2 linked regions of the Drosophila melanogaster genome follow. Each later gene encodes a partner of the first gene's protein in a complex. Each region holds a gene or a part of one and is shown in the gene's direction. Other genes may lie near its edges.

Region 1 (8,802 bases):
AGTAACACGTAAAATCGCGCGCCATTTATTTTCTTTCGATTTTTATTACACAGCACTTCGATAGCTGAAAATTCCTTAATTCGTGTGTGCTGGTCAAAAATTATTTATGTTTCCGAGATCAAACATTTAAACTTTTACCGGCTCTTTCGCATTCGTATTTGTTTGTTTATGTTTTAAAACGCCTGTATAGATTTCAAGTTCACGACTCGGCCATTTCAACTCGTCCGCTCCGCACAACCGCACAAGCGCGATAATCTGAACCGACTGAGAACCAAATTCGAGCGAAGCAGCTGCAAAGGAAACGCAAGTGTCAGAGATGCGTCGTTGCGGCGAAAAACCTGTTTCTGGCGGGGAAATGTGCAAGCAGTATAGCTAAAAATTGATGAACTGCGTGAAACTGACCTATGTTTGGTTAAGGTTTGGTGATGTGTTTTGTTTTTATTTTTTATATCTGTTGTTGAATATTTTTTTGTCGTCCTTGGATGGGCCATTAATAAATTCACTTCGTCTGTCTATTTGGATTTCGTTCTAGCCTTTAAGCTCTTAACTGCTAACGAATCGCCATTACTAGCGAGTAACAACAAAATGGTTCATCAATAAGTTATCGATAACTTAAGTCGCACATCCGTTATTGAATAGGAATTTAAAATTTTACACCTTCAACATTAAATCTTTTTTTTAAATAAAGTCTTTTCTACAGGGCAAGCAACGTCTCGTTGACAGAAGCGTTTCCAAGCTGATCGTTGTTTGTATTTGTAAATTGTGTTTGTATTGACATTGCCTTTGACCTTTGCTAAAATATTAAAACCCTTAAATAAACAGTAAATCAAATAAATGTGATTTAAATTGTAATGAAGTATTATTCTAAAAAAATGTAAGATACATTTTTAAAACTTTAAAAAATAAACACTTAAGGTGCACGCAGGCATTCATTATTTTTGAAAATAAATATCCAAAGTGACTGGCAGCCTTCCGTCAAGACAGCTTCGAAATTACCATATCGTGTGGGCATAATGAGGACTTTCTTGGGGTTCAAAAACCGGAATCGGAAGCAGTCTTACGGTCTGCGACACCTAGCCTTGATTAATTGCCAACCGGCCACACACTCAGCCAGATGCTTAGCCGTTTATCTCGAGTGTTTTGCCATTTTACAATCTGTTGGCCAACCTGTAACCGGTCATCATAAAGGAGTTAGCCATGCACTGTCCAAAAATTGATTGTAGACCAAGAACTTAATCTCGAATTAAGTTAACTTCATATTCCAATCATTCCAAACTATTACAAATCGAAATGGATTGATTGACTAGAACGATCTTTCCGTATATTTTATTTATTTTCCGTTTTATTTTTCCGTTTTTTTCTTCAGTGTGTTCCACATCCATAGAATTACAGCAGGGCTCTAATTACGTGTGTTTGAATTGCGGCGCCCTGATTAAGGCCCTTTTGCAGGGCAATCAATCGATTTGCTGCGGAGTAATAATAACAGATGTTAAGCCAGACTCTGGAAACGGATAAGGATAATTACTGGAAATTAGTGATGGAGCTGCCGCCGAAAGGCGATCAGATTCAGTTGCCATTGGGGTGAACTTCTGGTTAATCGTGTGCAACGCAATCAGCATTCCTGAGATTTTCCGCCTGTCAGCAGATTAACAGGTGTCTCTCCGCCCCACCAAAGTGAGGCAATAGCTAAATTGTTCGCATAAATTGATTACAATAATTTGCCTATCCCCCAACATTTAGCCGCCCTCTGCGAAATGAATTCGCTGCTGGTAAAAATTCTAAGACAGCAGACAGAATAACAACAAGTTGCTCCGTCGGCTTCCATAATTTATGCAGAAATGCAGTCGAACCCAATGAAAAGTGTCGTTCACAAATCTAGGCGGTAAATTGCTTTTTGCGATTTCCAATGCACACCCACCACACGCAAATGCAAAAGTTGTCAATCAAAAATGGTCGTCAATCATGGTAGTAGTTGTTAGAAAGGAAGAGAGTAGGAAAATGTCTTTAAAAATATTAAACAAATTTATTTTTCAGTGGTTACTTCCTACAATTACGCTTATAGAAATACAAGGAAGGTTGCCAAATACCATAAATATATGTATAATTCCTTACCTTACAATCGAGTGACCACTGTAATTCTTAGCTGGGAGTAGAGAGAATGAGAGAGGGCCTGGAATGCAAATTACTATTATTACCGGACAATTGCCCTGTGCTGTGCGAGTGCATTCAAAATATTTGAAACACCACCCGAAAAGGGAAAATTGAATGGCAAGAAAAGCCGGCTGATTCATCCCACTCTAAATTATTGGGCTTACACATTCAGCAAATAAAAATGGGAGAAGGGTCGAGATTTATAAATTGGACCACATGTTCTCGCCCAGTTTTTCTACATACATATAGTATTGTATTGCTCGTCACGTCTCTGCAGCATCCTCTGCAATTAAGGCAAGGCTAGGGAAAATATACAGTCCAACATCTATAAGGAAGTACTTCCCTAAATTACAGATAGGTTGTAGTGGCACTAACTATTGCCCATTCTATATATATTACCCTTTGAACCCATCAACACCTTATTGAAAATTATTTTTTTATTATTCTGATCTGCTAGTTAAGTAAAATTTTTACTGATTTAATTTTTGTAATTTCTTGCTGGTACGCATTACTGATGTTTGACTGTATCCAACTTGCTTAAGCTAAGAAGCCATAATCCTCCTTCCGATTGTCTGTGCTTCTTCCGGGGTGCCGGAATCATCACGAGATGTAAGAAAGCCCCTGAGTCATCCATCAATCGCTGGACTAACCCTCAGAGCAAGTGCCTCCATTACCCTTCTCGGAGTTTCAGGTGCACTTGCTGTATGGATGGATAATCATCTCCTGGGGAATTGCTGCCAAGCAGCTCCATTTGCCGATTAGCCGACAGACCACCAGAGCACCACCGCACGTGGTAACGCTCGTCGGCACCATTTGAGTTATTCTGGAATTTATGTATATGCTACTTCGTAATTGCTTATCAAGCAGCTCTGCAGACCCACTGGCGTGCTGTTTTCTAATCTGGACCAAGAGAAAGGCCATTAAAACGAATGTCCAGCTGGAACGGAGTGCAAACTGCTTTGTGTAATGGTCGTCAAATGGCAATGCAGGTGGTAATTTCGTTTAATTGTTTTTACTGGCTACGTAGACTGCTTTGAATGTTAACCTAATGGTGGGCGAATGGGAACAAATTGATAAAAAAATTAAAGAAAATGAATATATATATATATATATAGGTTCTATATTAGGTTCTGAAAACAGTTTTTTATTTTTTCAAAATTTTTTGGTTGTACCACCCTAATGTATTTTCACAAATTCTGTTGATCTGGAAACATTATCTCTGCAAACTGCTCACCGTTACTTCTGTTGCGCCTGCTCTTTCGCCTTCCAGTACGAAAAGCACCGTAAGTCTCCAAAATGCAGATGAATGGAGAAGTGGACCGCGTTGGCGAGGGATCCAAGAATATTGGATCACTTTCCTCCAAGCGATGGCCGCAGTCACAAGTGAATTCCCCAGCAAACCGATCAGTTATACCAGCACCAATACTTCCGCCAAAACCTATTATCTTAAGTCCGTGAAAAAGCGGGTGACCACGTGTTTCCAGCAGTTGCGCGATAAACTCCAGTCATCCGGTTCCTTTCGCAAGAGTTCCTCCAGCTGCCTCAACCAGATCTTCGTAAGGTCCGATTTCTCCGCATGCGGCGAACGCTTTCGGAAGATCTTCAAATCGGCGCGAAAAACCGAATTGCCGGAGTTGTGGAAGGTGCCATTGGTGGCCCATGAACTCACCAGCCGGCAGAGCAGCCAGCAGTTGCAAGTCGTAGCCAGACTCTTCTCGTCCACTCAGATTTCCACCAAGGAAATCACCTACAACAGCAACAGCAACACCAGCGAGAACAACATGACCATCATCGAGAGCAACTATATATCCGTGCGCGAGGAATATCCCGATATAGATAGTGAGGTGCGCGCCATATTGCTGAGCCACGCCCAGAATGGAATCACGATATCGAGCATCAAGAGTGAGTAGCTTTATGTTTGAAAGCTTTCTTCTTTCCAGAAGTTTCGACTTCATCAAACACTTCAGAACTTTCTCTAAGTGGCTATATTTAGTTAGAAATCTAAAATGTATAAATTTTTAGTAGGTTATTAAATTTTATTTGGATTATATAACTTTTATAGTTTAGTATATTTATTTTAATTTATATTTTTTCTATGTTTCTTTTTTGTAAGATTACCCTTAAATAATTCTATAATTGAAATTCGCCAGGTGAATATCGAAAACTGACGGGCAATCCATTTCCACTGCACGACAACGTGACGGATTTCCTGCTGACCATTCCCAATGTGACCGCTGAGTGCAGCGAGTCCGGTAAGCGGATCTTCAACCTGAAAGCGAGCCTGAAGAACGGTCACCTCCTGGATATGGTGCTCAACCAGAAAGAGCGCACCAGCGACTACAGCAGCGGAGCTCCGTCCCTGGAGAACATACCACGAGCACCTCCACGCTACTGGAAGAATCCCTTCAAACGGAGGGCTCTGTCCCAGCTGAACACCAGCCCGAGGACCGTGCCCAAGATAACGGATGAAAAGACCAAGGATATCGCCACCAGGCCGGTTTCGCTGCATCAAATGGCCAATGAGGCAGCGGAGTCGAACTGGTGCTACCAGGATAATTGGAAGCATCTGTGAGTACTGAAAAGGTGTTTTGTAGACAGTGCAACTATAGCAAAAATAAACCTTTACTTAACAAAATGTACTAATCTTTCTACTGAACTCCTAGCAACAATTTCTACCAGCAAGCCAGCGTAAATGCGCCAAAAATGCCAGTACCCATCAACATCTACAGCCCCGATGCCCCAGAGGAACCAATCAATTTGGCTCCACCTGGGCATCAGCCAAGCTGCAGAACCCAAAGCCAGAAAACCGAACCGACTGAAAACCGCCATTTGGGCATCTTTGTGCATCCATTTAACGGCATGAACATAATGAAGAGACGCCACGAAATGACGCCCACGCCAACGATTTTAACCAGTGGAACCTACAACGATTCTCTGCTGACGATTAACTCGGATTACGATGCCTATCTGCTGGACTTTCCGCTTATGGGCGATGATTTTATGCTATATCTCGCCCGAATGGAGCTAAAATGCCGATTTAGGCGTCACGAACGCGTCCTGCAGTCAGGACTTTGTGTATCCGGACTGACGATCAATGGCGCCCGAAATCGTTTAAAAAGAGTCCAATTACCCGAGGGTACTCAGATCATCGTCAATATCGGATCGGTGGACATTATGCGCGGCAAGCCTTTGGTTCAGATCGAGCACGATTTTCGGCTACTGATCAAGGAGATGCACAATATGCGATTGGTGCCGATTCTAACAAATCTTGCACCGCTGGGCAACTATTGTCACGATAAGGTATTATGTGACAAAATCTACCGATTCAACAAGTTTATCCGAAGCGAATGCTGTCACCTAAAGGTCATCGACATACACTCCTGTCTAATCAACGAAAGGGGCGTGGTGCGATTTGATTGCTTTCAGGCGTAAGACTTTATACCATATACCATATCATATGAGTTTACGATTTGTGCCACTTTTCAGCTCACCACGCCAAGTCACCGGTTCCAAGGAACCCTATCTGTTCTGGAACAAAATCGGTCGGCAGCGCGTACTGCAAGTTATTGAAACGAGTCTGGAGTATTAAGTTGGGTTCTTAATCAAGATACATATATGCAAATTTTGACTGGGCTGGCACCGGAACCGACAAAATAAGAACTTTTTGATGATTTTACGATTTACGCTGATGGATCGCTGCTTTTACGGAATTCGCTTAGTTTTAATATGTTTTATATGTAGTATGTTCTCTGTCTTTGTTTATTTATATGTTCGTGCACTTGTCCTAGTCCATTATTGTATATTATTGTGTGTTTTGTGTTCTATGTTAGATTTAAACTTCTCAATTTTTCGCTGTCTGTGATTTGTTTTGCCAATGCCATTGATTTTCTGCACACTTTTTGCTGCTATCCCAAAAGCTGTGTAAAATAATCAAATGCAAAATAAGCGCAAGCAGCTGAAAACTTCTCTTCAAACTTTTCCGCTTTTCCCAAAACCATTTTGCTTTGAAATCTGTTTTTACCAAATCAGATTAAACTGCAAAATGGAACTTAAATGCAAATCATTGCAATGCTTATAAACTGTTTTTTGTTCTATATACTTTTGTGTGGGTCAAAATTCGGCATGCTCCTGTATCACACAACCTGCCACTTGCCCTTAAAAAGAAGGGCGCAGTGGGCGTGGTACGTATACATATGAGCCATGCTGCATTTTGGCCGTAATGAAAATGCACTGCTTTACTTGGAAAATTCGCTTGCACAAAATCAACGCCGCGGCTGATTTATTATTGATGTGCTCAAGCAAATTCAAGTGAAGCATTTGCGCGATTTTCGTCTTTCTGTTTCCGTTTGCAAAAAAGTTTATAAAATGCTTACACTCTGCTGCAGACACGCCAACCGGAAGTGCGCACTAAGCGCTTGTTTGTAGCACAGTGTAGAATTCTGGCGTAATTTACAGCTCTACTTTAAAGTCTTCTAGATAGCTATCTACTATTTATAAACTTATTTATTGTCTTGAATGTATGTTAATTGTATGTATTGATGGTGATCACGTTTTTTTTGTCCTATAACAAGCTGCAATGTAAAATCCAAAAAAAAAATGAAAAAATAAAATAAAAGGGAAATCAATGATTTTGTTTGCTCTAAGCTATGTTCAAAGTAACTGGGAACTAATCGAACTAATTTCGATTTAAAAGTGGTCTAGATTATATTGTGACATTTGTGAATATATTATTATATTTGCGAATTTATTATTATCATAAAAATAACGGTAGTTGAAAAATAATTTAGATGGCATGCAATATTAAAAGTTCCCGCCAAATTGGCTTGAATCTTTGCTAATATATTACAGTTTCCAACCTTGCATTAAGTTCACGATAGTTTTTCGGCATTTTCGATTGTAAAAGCATAAAAAAGTCCCTGCTATCGAAGCTCTACCACCTCCATCAGCAGGCGACGGCAAAAAAATCTTGAAATGTAAGCAGTAACGTCAAAATTCGCTTTCAAATCGTTAAACGTACGTTCTCATTCGATTTCAGAACAAAATGGCTTCATTCTTGGCACGAACTGGCGGCCCCCTGATCGAAACCGTTAGGCCAGCGGCCATAAAAAAGGTGAGTTCGCCAATTAGTAGTCATATTTGTGTGTAAAAAATGCGAAAATCCGTCGCTTTACATAATAAGGCGAAAAGAGAGAGTGAACACCTACGCTGTCCCCTTCTCTGTCTCTCACTTACTCACACATGTGAAATGCTGATCGTTTATCGGTACAAAAAAAAAACTTAAGCGATAATTTAAGTTCTTTGCCATTTGTTAACTAATTGTTTCTCCAGAGAAACGGGGAGAGTGTGAGATTTAAAGAGAGTCACGATCACCAAAGACACCTGACTTTTTTATTGTGTCAGTGTGACGCAACTGTGCGCTTTTCGTACGCATGTGTGTGTGTGGGGACCTTGAAAGCCCCATTTATTCCCCCACTTAATTTAGTTTGTTTTTTATCAATGAGCAGCTGACAACTGTTGCTTATCGTTTGTGGTTGTTGTTGCTGTTGTCGCCGGGCCCTCTAATTAAATTCTTAATCTGTGAATTAGTTTCGGTTATCACCGGGAAACGCCGTTAGCCGGACGAACTTGCTCTTAACCCAGATTTCGTTTCTTTTCGCCGCTTTTTGTTTATGTTTTTTTCACATGAATCACCGAACCAGTTTTTTTATGTTTAATTTTTGCTTGACAATGACCTCGTGACTGGAATTAAGATTTCATTTATAAGTACAATAAGTTTCGAAATCGTTTTTATTTTCATCCTTTTAAATATATTTTTAATTATTTTTCTTGTTATCTTTAATTAGCATCTAATTTTCGCAAATTAACATGGCAAAAATTCCAACCTTTTCAGATTCTTGGCCTGGCTCCCATCGCCGTCCAGCAGCTGAGGAACCTCAATGTCCAGGAACACGTTTCCTACAGTCTGCTCAATGAGGCCAAGATCCCAACACCTCGGTGAGTAAACCCAATCGGAATTATCAAAATCGCGGGCAAACAACCAACAATTTGCGTCAAAGTCGCAGTCCAAAGTTCAATGAAAGTGCCGCGTTGTCGTTGCGTCGTCTGTTTCCTTTGGCTTATGTGCGTTTTGGACTTTGCCTGAACTTAATAATATGCATTGAGTATAGCCGACTACGGGGTAAACAAACCAGAGAAACGCAGCCGCCGATGATAAGGGTGATAACAAGTTTTATACTATAACACACTTTGATCGGCGTAAAGTGACAAGGGTCAGTGACGTGGGCTTTGATAAGATGGAAGCGGCATTAGTTGACGTCTATCATAATTAAACTAACTAAATATACATAAACTTTGGGTAAAGAAAATATATTTTAATGTTTAAAATACCTGTAATTTAAATTTAAGCAATTGCAAAGCTAGAATATTTTGATTTCCATTTCGTTTGATAAATTGAGATTATTAGAATCAAAAGATAGTAGTTGCTTTTGCTATTATTCAGGTAAAATCAGGCGACTGATTTATTTTCTAAATGAGGGCTTGTCATCTCTCGAATGACCGAATAACCTTGTCTCAACTTTCAACCTTTGTGGTCTACTGATAACACGATTTACGTGAAATGTTCCTATCAACAATCAATCAGGAACATCGTAA
Region 2 (6,619 bases), on another chromosome or scaffold:
TATCGACCTGCCTAATTTCGGCGCGCATTTCAAAATATCTGTCATAAGCTATTGCATTTTTCAAGAAATATCTTTTTTCTATGTCAATATATTAAACATGTCGTCATATTAGCTCATTGAAGCGGTTTGTTGATTACCTAATTATTTATACGAACTGCGATAAGTAGTAATTAAAATCTAATTATGCCCCATCAGTAATTATATTTTTGGAAACCAGTACTCCACCATCGCGTAGAGTGGTCATTACATCCAGACTATTTGCCCTGATGAAGTACCTCTTGTGGATCAGCTTACTTTTCATTGGAGAATCCCATGGATACGTGCGCCTCACGAACCTCAAGTGCGAAAGCTATGACAAATCATTCGTCGTCTTTCCCGAATGCCGACTAAAAGTGCTTGGCAGGGGAATTATCGGAGCCAACATACACGTTAAGCTTCTGAAACTGCCAATAAATAGGATGGTCGTGAGATTCATCACTTACCGGAAGCTAAACGGATACCATCCGTTTCTATTTAATGTTTCCGAGGAACACTGTCGCGTCCTAAGGTATCCAAATCGTCTCAGAGTCTTCTACTATTTCTACACCGCCTTTATGCCCTTTTCCAATATTAATCATACATGTCCCTATAATGTAAGTATTTAGTTTCGCCAATATGACAATCATATTAAATCATATTAAAATATATATTTTAAGGATGATATTTACATAAGGAACTGCACCTTGGATGATCGTATGTTTGCCAAGGTCCCATTACCAAAGGGTAGCTATAAGTTAACCCTCGAAATGGATGATGGTGTCGTGAACTGGATTTCCATCATAAACATCCACTTTGAAATTGACGTTGACTAAGATGAACAAAACATTAGAACACCTAATGGATCTAACACAACGAACACATATTTATTTTGCGTTAATGTTTTAATTATTCCTATGCCCGCTATATGATATAGTTGTCCGATCTGGCCCGTTCCGACTTCTATACTTAATGCAATACAAAGTTCGTTAATGCAAATTGCTTTAAAACTGACTAATTACATCGGTTGTTAATACTCTTCGAGAATACATACACAATATGGCGTCTTATTTACTTCTCTGCTAGATCATTCTGAGTTATATTTATAATGTATTCATATTTACTTTGCTCAATGCTCAATTTATCGCCCCGCTGTGTTATCGGCGAGTTATCAGCAGCGTGGTCGTTATCACCGGCGTTTTTAAAAAACTGATTGCGGCAACAAGACGTCTCCGTTTTATCAATAGTTAATGTTTATTGAAATTTCTTTTCTCTCGTTTAAGGTTTAGGTGGTCAGAGTAAACGCCTCCGCAGTTGGGCAGCAGATACAAAATGTTTTCTCGCGTGTCGTGTCTTTACAATGTTTCATTTAAGAATATGAAGGATGTGTGGTGTGTGCTCATTTGGGATTGATTTATATTTTGGAACAATTTTGGGAGTTAGCAGAACTTCCATCGGTTGCCGCACTCGTTGCACATGACGAAGGTGGTCATAGGTTCATCGGCGGAACGAGTCTGCAGCTGGTTGTAGGTGCAGTTGCGCTTCTTGCACTTGGCGCACTTGAGGAGATCGGTCTTGGTGCCCTGCACGGTGGCCAGCTGGGCATCGTTGATGGCCTCCTTGACGAACTTCTCGCGCAGCTTCTTCATCTCATCGCTGGCCATCTCCTCCGGCGTCATTTTGGCCAGCTGCTTGGCAGTGACGGCGCCGCACATAAAGTTGCCTCGCAATCCAGGATTTTTGGGGTCCTTCAGATTGGCCACGCGTGACCTAATGCGATTCTTGTACTTCATATCCGTGTTATTGAACTCGGAGTAAATGGCATCCTCCAGTTCGGCGGCCATTTCCTCCGGCTCACCGCATCCTTCGGGCACTTCACCAATCTTCAGTGCGGTGGCCAGCATTTCGCGGCATTTGATGCGGACCGCATCTGTCATGCCGCCGGAGGGAAACGAGGTCTGTGACGAGGATGTCGAGCCTTTCTTCTCTTTATCCTTGGATGAGCTGGATGAACTGGACTTATCCTTGCCGGAGATTGACGACGACGACTTGGCGGCACTGGTGGACTTCGAGGCACTGCTGTTGTTGGAGGAGCCCTCCTTAGCGGAGCTGTTGTTCGGTGTGGTTGGCGCCGGGCTGGCGAGGAATCGTTTCCAGTTCTTGATCAGCGTCTTGGCCAGAGCGATCACCTCGTCGTCCTTGCTACTCTTGCGCAGCTCGTTTACGGTCATGCCGATGCGCGTTTTGGTCAGAATGTCGAGATTGATGTTAAGCGTTTGCAGGGCCTTCAGCAGGTCCAGAGCCTGATCCTGTCCCTGTACGGTGGATATATGTATATTTGTGACATGATGCGCGGCACGTTAGCTAATCCCGATACTTACTGTGCCGTCGCTGGCCATCTTGCTCATCTTCTTTTGGATTCGAAACACTTCCTCCTCCACGCTCATTTTGGCCCACTTAATTTGATCAGAGGTTAGGTTAACTGGCGTCGGCTGTCGGCTTTAATCGGTGCTGCGGGTCTGCGACAGTTGTTTATGCGGAAGCCGGGCTATTTCTTTTTTTCCCTCCAATAAATGTTGTTTACTATTTTTTTCGTTTCTGTATTCGCAGAACGAGTTGACAGAACACCCTAACGCGTTTTAGTGTTACCGGGCGGTGGCTTGTCAAGAAATGCCTTCCCATGGCTAATACAATTCCCAACTGGAAGTAGTTTGGGTTTCAGAAGTCAACAGTGTTACCGTATTTTAATGTACATCTGGCTTTTAAGCGAGTACACACACATAGCATTGCGATGTTTTTTAAACTTGCACTGCTTGCAAGCAGGGCTCCACTGTATTTCAATGAAAGAACAGCGTGTTGGGCGTTTTTGAATTATACTAATTACCTTCAATAACAATTCCCTATATATCACTTAGTTTTAATAAATAAATCGTTTGAGTGTGGTCTAGAGATGATGTATTATGATGAAGTGCGGTTGTTGGGGACAAGCGGGATACGTCTGCGGGTCAAATCGGCGGTGGGACATAGTGAGAGGGCAACGGCTCCAAAACCAAGCGTTGCGAACAATCACCAACGCGCCCTGGTACGCGAGAAATGTTGATATCGCACATGACCTCAGCATCCACCTTCAGTTTGAGAACAAATTAAATCAGGCACATACCAGACAACCAGGAGAACACTGAGGAGGCGTCATCAAAGATATCTTTGGACACGTGGCATAAACAAGCCAAACTATTATCTAATCAATATTTTTATACAAATTTTGTATGTTTCCATGTTATCTTCGTTGCTCCTGTTAGTTACTACGTTTCATAGCCCTTAAATTGGTTGCTTAACGTAAAATAAAATTATATTGTATAAAAATAAAGAGGAATTCACCTATAACAAACGAAAAAGTAAATAAATAAGAACTTCCCCATGTTAAAAATGCCACCACCATCTTTACATATAAGTATGTACATATGAATGAATCACTTAGGTTGCTTGAATATTACAATTTCATTAATAGCTAAATCACATTTGATGTGTTAGTGGAAAACGGCTATATATATAAATTATCGAAATTGTGAATATCGAATTGCGATAGCACAATGGGAAATTCCACCACTAGATTTTTGGTACTTTTAACAGATCCTTTTCGGTTTTGCGTTGCGCGAAGTGATCTGAACTTATCAAAGTTTGTAAGGTAATACATAAAGTGAAAAAGAATTAATTTGCTCTTGAAAGGCAGGGTAAGTAGCAAGAGACTATCTTAGTGATATGCAATTAGTTTTGAATCGGATTTAATTTTGCAACATTAAAAATAAGCTCATTAAAACTTGTCTAAATTGACTCGACAAGTTTTTCATTTTCCAATTTTTAAATCCGCAAAATTAAAACCATTTGAAAACGTATTACATATATTATTCCCCTTATCATTTTTAATTCTTCTATTGTAAAAACTATCCCATTTAAATATTAATGTTACACCCATTTTCGTTTTACAATTTTCGAATACTTAAGCTCATTTTGACTTCATTCTTCCATTTTCGGTTATGTTTCAGCGTTGTCGAAGCCCCTTTTTGTACTTCTAACGGATTTTTCTCATATTGTTACACCCATTTTCGTTTTACAATTTTCGAATACTTACTTTTATTAAGCTCCTTTTGACTTCATTCGTTCATTTTCGGTTATGTTTCAGAGTTGTCGAAGCACCTTTTTGTACTTATTACGGATTTTTCTCCTTATTTGACTGTAGCAATTAGAGAGCTTGGCAACCCTAGAACATGAATTCCTAATTTGGTTTCCTCTTTGCGTTCTATTCTAACAGGATCTTGAAAGGTCTAATATAAAAAAAAGATTTTGCGTGTAAAGTTGATTCATTTTTTTAAAAAGAAAATAAGTTGAAAGTAAAAATTGTCCCATTTTCTGGTTATTGGCATCGTATCTTTCTTTCGTGTGCGTTTCTTGATTTACGCTTTGAAATGTTGTCCTATTCGGCTTTCTCATTCTGGGTTATGTCCAATTTTTTTTTTTTTGCTTTTCCGCATATTTGTTGGCTTTTCTGTTCTGTCTATTCTATCTTTCGCCTTGTGTTTGTGTGCAACTTTGTTTTATGTGTTTGCCAATTTGTAACACTTGCATTCCATCTAAAAACTTACCGTTAAAAGTATAAGAACAAGCACAACAAAGAATTCATTCATTGTAGGTTTTCGTGAATAAAATTGAGAATACTGCATTAGATTTGTTTAGGTTTCGTTTCATTCCGTAATTCTTTCCGTCTCCACTTACCATTCGCTTTATGATCTTTTGTAACTCCTCGAATTACATCTTGCTCTTTCATGAACTTTTTCATTCTTTTTTGCCCCAAAATTTTCAAACTTACATCAAGTGTTTTTTTGGTTCTTTATTTTTATCAAATAAATGTTCTTGTTTTATGTTTAAACGAGTTGCTCAACATTTGTTGAATGGTTTCTTTGGGTCAAAATACAATACAATATTTCAAAAAATGTCGTATATTTTTTCATCTACGTTTTCCTCCATATTCATTTGCTCTATCATTTCTTTGCTTTGTGTGTTTGTTTCGCCGTCATAAAATTGATTTTACCATGTATGTACGAATATATATCTCATATAATTTACATAGTTTCTAGTTAATTGTAGGCAAACGATTTTACAGGGATCTTCAAATTAGCGTTTTCGGGAGTGGTTCTCTCATATGACTCGAAATGGATATTTTTGAAAGTTTCCCTCCAACTATAATCTACTTATTAAAGGTTTCTAATTTGCTCCAATAGTTAATCAATATTTTTTGTTTTTATTTCTTTAATAATGCTTAAATTAATATTGTTTTGTTTTTGTATTTCCGTGTGTGTGTGTAAGTTCAGTTAGGTATTTATAATTAAAAGTAGTATATATGATGCATAGTCCTCTGTTTAATTATTAAATTTAAATGTTTAATCATAGAATTTGCATCCAAGAAACACAGTTACAAAGGTTTTAACACTTACTATTCTTTCGGTTTTGGGTTTCTTTCACGATCCACTGATTTTTATATTTCTCCCTTTTGTTTTTCTTTATTTTAAATAAACGTTAACATAGTAAAAATAATAAAGCGTACATTTCGCTACGAAAAGTTGATTCGTAATTGAACAAAAAAATTTATGAGTAATGAAAATGCTTTTACTGTTCTCTCGATGAAAACAAACTATTGTAATAGTGTATTTTTCTTCTTTACAAAGAAGAATTTATCAGGCCGTGATGTTGAATATTATATATTTTATCTTTAGTTTATTTTATTCGCCTTGATCACTGGTTAGCGACTGTAATTTGTTTTTATAAGGTAGGATGATTTTTTGATTAGGTGAGTGGTAATAACATAAAAATAAACAACTTCACATCAGGTTTTGGTTGATGCAATAAAACAATTTCCATGACCGCCCCTGCCGTTTTAGAAAAAATCTCGAAACAAATCTCGTATTGTGAACAGCTACTAGATATAAAGTCCATAATGAGGATAACTTAGCCTGACACTGACTAGTTTACACGAGGTCACTTGCTTGATCGCGATTTTATCGTGTAAAATCTGATTTAGTTGGCCACGTATAAACTAAAATTGCTTTTCGTGTGTTCTCTTTTCATATATCTTTAAACATATGTATAATTTATTATCCGTTTTTTTTTACTTAGCTTGTTGGTTGGTATTTTTGTTGCTTTTGGCTTATAATGGCGGCTACAATTGTTTTCGTAATTTCCCCATTTTTCTTTTAGTTTTTAAAAAGTTTGTTGTCTGTGATATACGTAATTTATAAGTTTTCATTTTGGTAACTTGCTGCTTTCATTCACCATCGTCAGTAACCAAAACTGCAATTTGAGGAACCTACTCCTGCCCAAAACGATCGATTTAAGCCAGAGTGGGAAACTGACGCTCATCGTTGACCTTGGGAGCGGTGTTCTGTTGTCGCTCAAAACGCTTATTCGGCCCTGGACCGCTGTTCTGATTGTTGTTCTGGTTGTTTCCCGGACCGCGACGATCGATGGGTGGCCTTTGATTTTGAGCGGATGAACCGCCGCCCTCGTTATTATGCTGCTGGCCATCCCGTGGGCCACGGTTTCCACCCTCACG

Evidence for each region. Proteins that work in one complex are often made in the same cells at the same time.
Region 2: the proteins of osk (region 1) and vas are in contact, whole or in part, in a crystal structure (PDB 5NT7), measured with the Drosophila melanogaster proteins. Residues at the interface, in NP_731295.1 of Drosophila melanogaster: Asp155 (codon at 3,981), Ser158 (codon at 3,990), Glu159 (codon at 3,993), Arg161 (codon at 3,999), Ala162 (codon at 4,002), Ile163 (codon at 4,005), Leu165 (codon at 4,011), Ser166 (codon at 4,014), His167 (codon at 4,017), Glu180 (codon at 4,304), Arg182 (codon at 4,310), Lys183 (codon at 4,313), Leu184 (codon at 4,316), Thr185 (codon at 4,319), Gly186 (codon at 4,322), Lys224 (codon at 4,436), Asn225 (codon at 4,439), His227 (codon at 4,445), Leu228 (codon at 4,448), Asp230 (codon at 4,454), Met231 (codon at 4,457), Val232 (codon at 4,460), Asn234 (codon at 4,466), Gln235 (codon at 4,469), Lys236 (codon at 4,472); in NP_001260458.1 of Drosophila melanogaster: Lys474, Tyr475, Arg478, Arg500, Asp503, Phe504, Ala506, Ser507, Phe508, Ser510, Glu511, Lys512, Glu513, Thr516, Thr517, Ser518, His520, Gly521, Asp522, Arg523, Leu524, Gln527, Arg528, Ala531, Met540.

What each region holds. Positions count from the first base shown.
Region 1 is NT_033777.3:8,931,628-8,940,429, forward strand, and holds osk (oskar), read left to right. Parts: upstream 1-3,498; 5' UTR 3,499-3,518; coding exon 3,519-4,053; intron 4,054-4,088; exon of another isoform or gene 4,089-4,172; intron 4,173-4,301; coding exon 4,302-4,719; intron 4,720-4,814; coding exon 4,815-5,579; intron 5,580-5,637; coding exon 5,638-5,740; 3' UTR 5,741-6,768; downstream 6,769-8,802. Other genes in the region: ScsbetaA (Succinyl-coenzyme A synthetase beta subunit, ADP-forming), read left to right, coding at 7,193-7,261, 8,042-8,145. UniProt on the Drosophila melanogaster protein: Organizes the germ plasm and directs localization of the posterior determinant nanos. Oskar protein is required to keep nanos (nos) RNA and staufen protein at the posterior pole.
Region 2 is NT_033779.5:15,058,037-15,064,655, forward strand, and holds the start of vas (vasa), read left to right. Parts: upstream 1-3,619; 5' UTR 3,620-3,746; intron 3,747-4,894; exon of another isoform or gene 4,895-6,397; coding exon of another isoform or gene 6,398-6,619. Other genes in the region: CG33679 (uncharacterized protein), read left to right, coding at 267-632, 696-851; TfIIS (RNA polymerase II elongation factor), read right to left, coding at 1,455-2,330, 2,397-2,462; vig (vasa intronic gene), read right to left, coding at 6,398-6,619. UniProt on the Drosophila melanogaster protein: Involved in translational control mechanisms operating in early stages of oogenesis.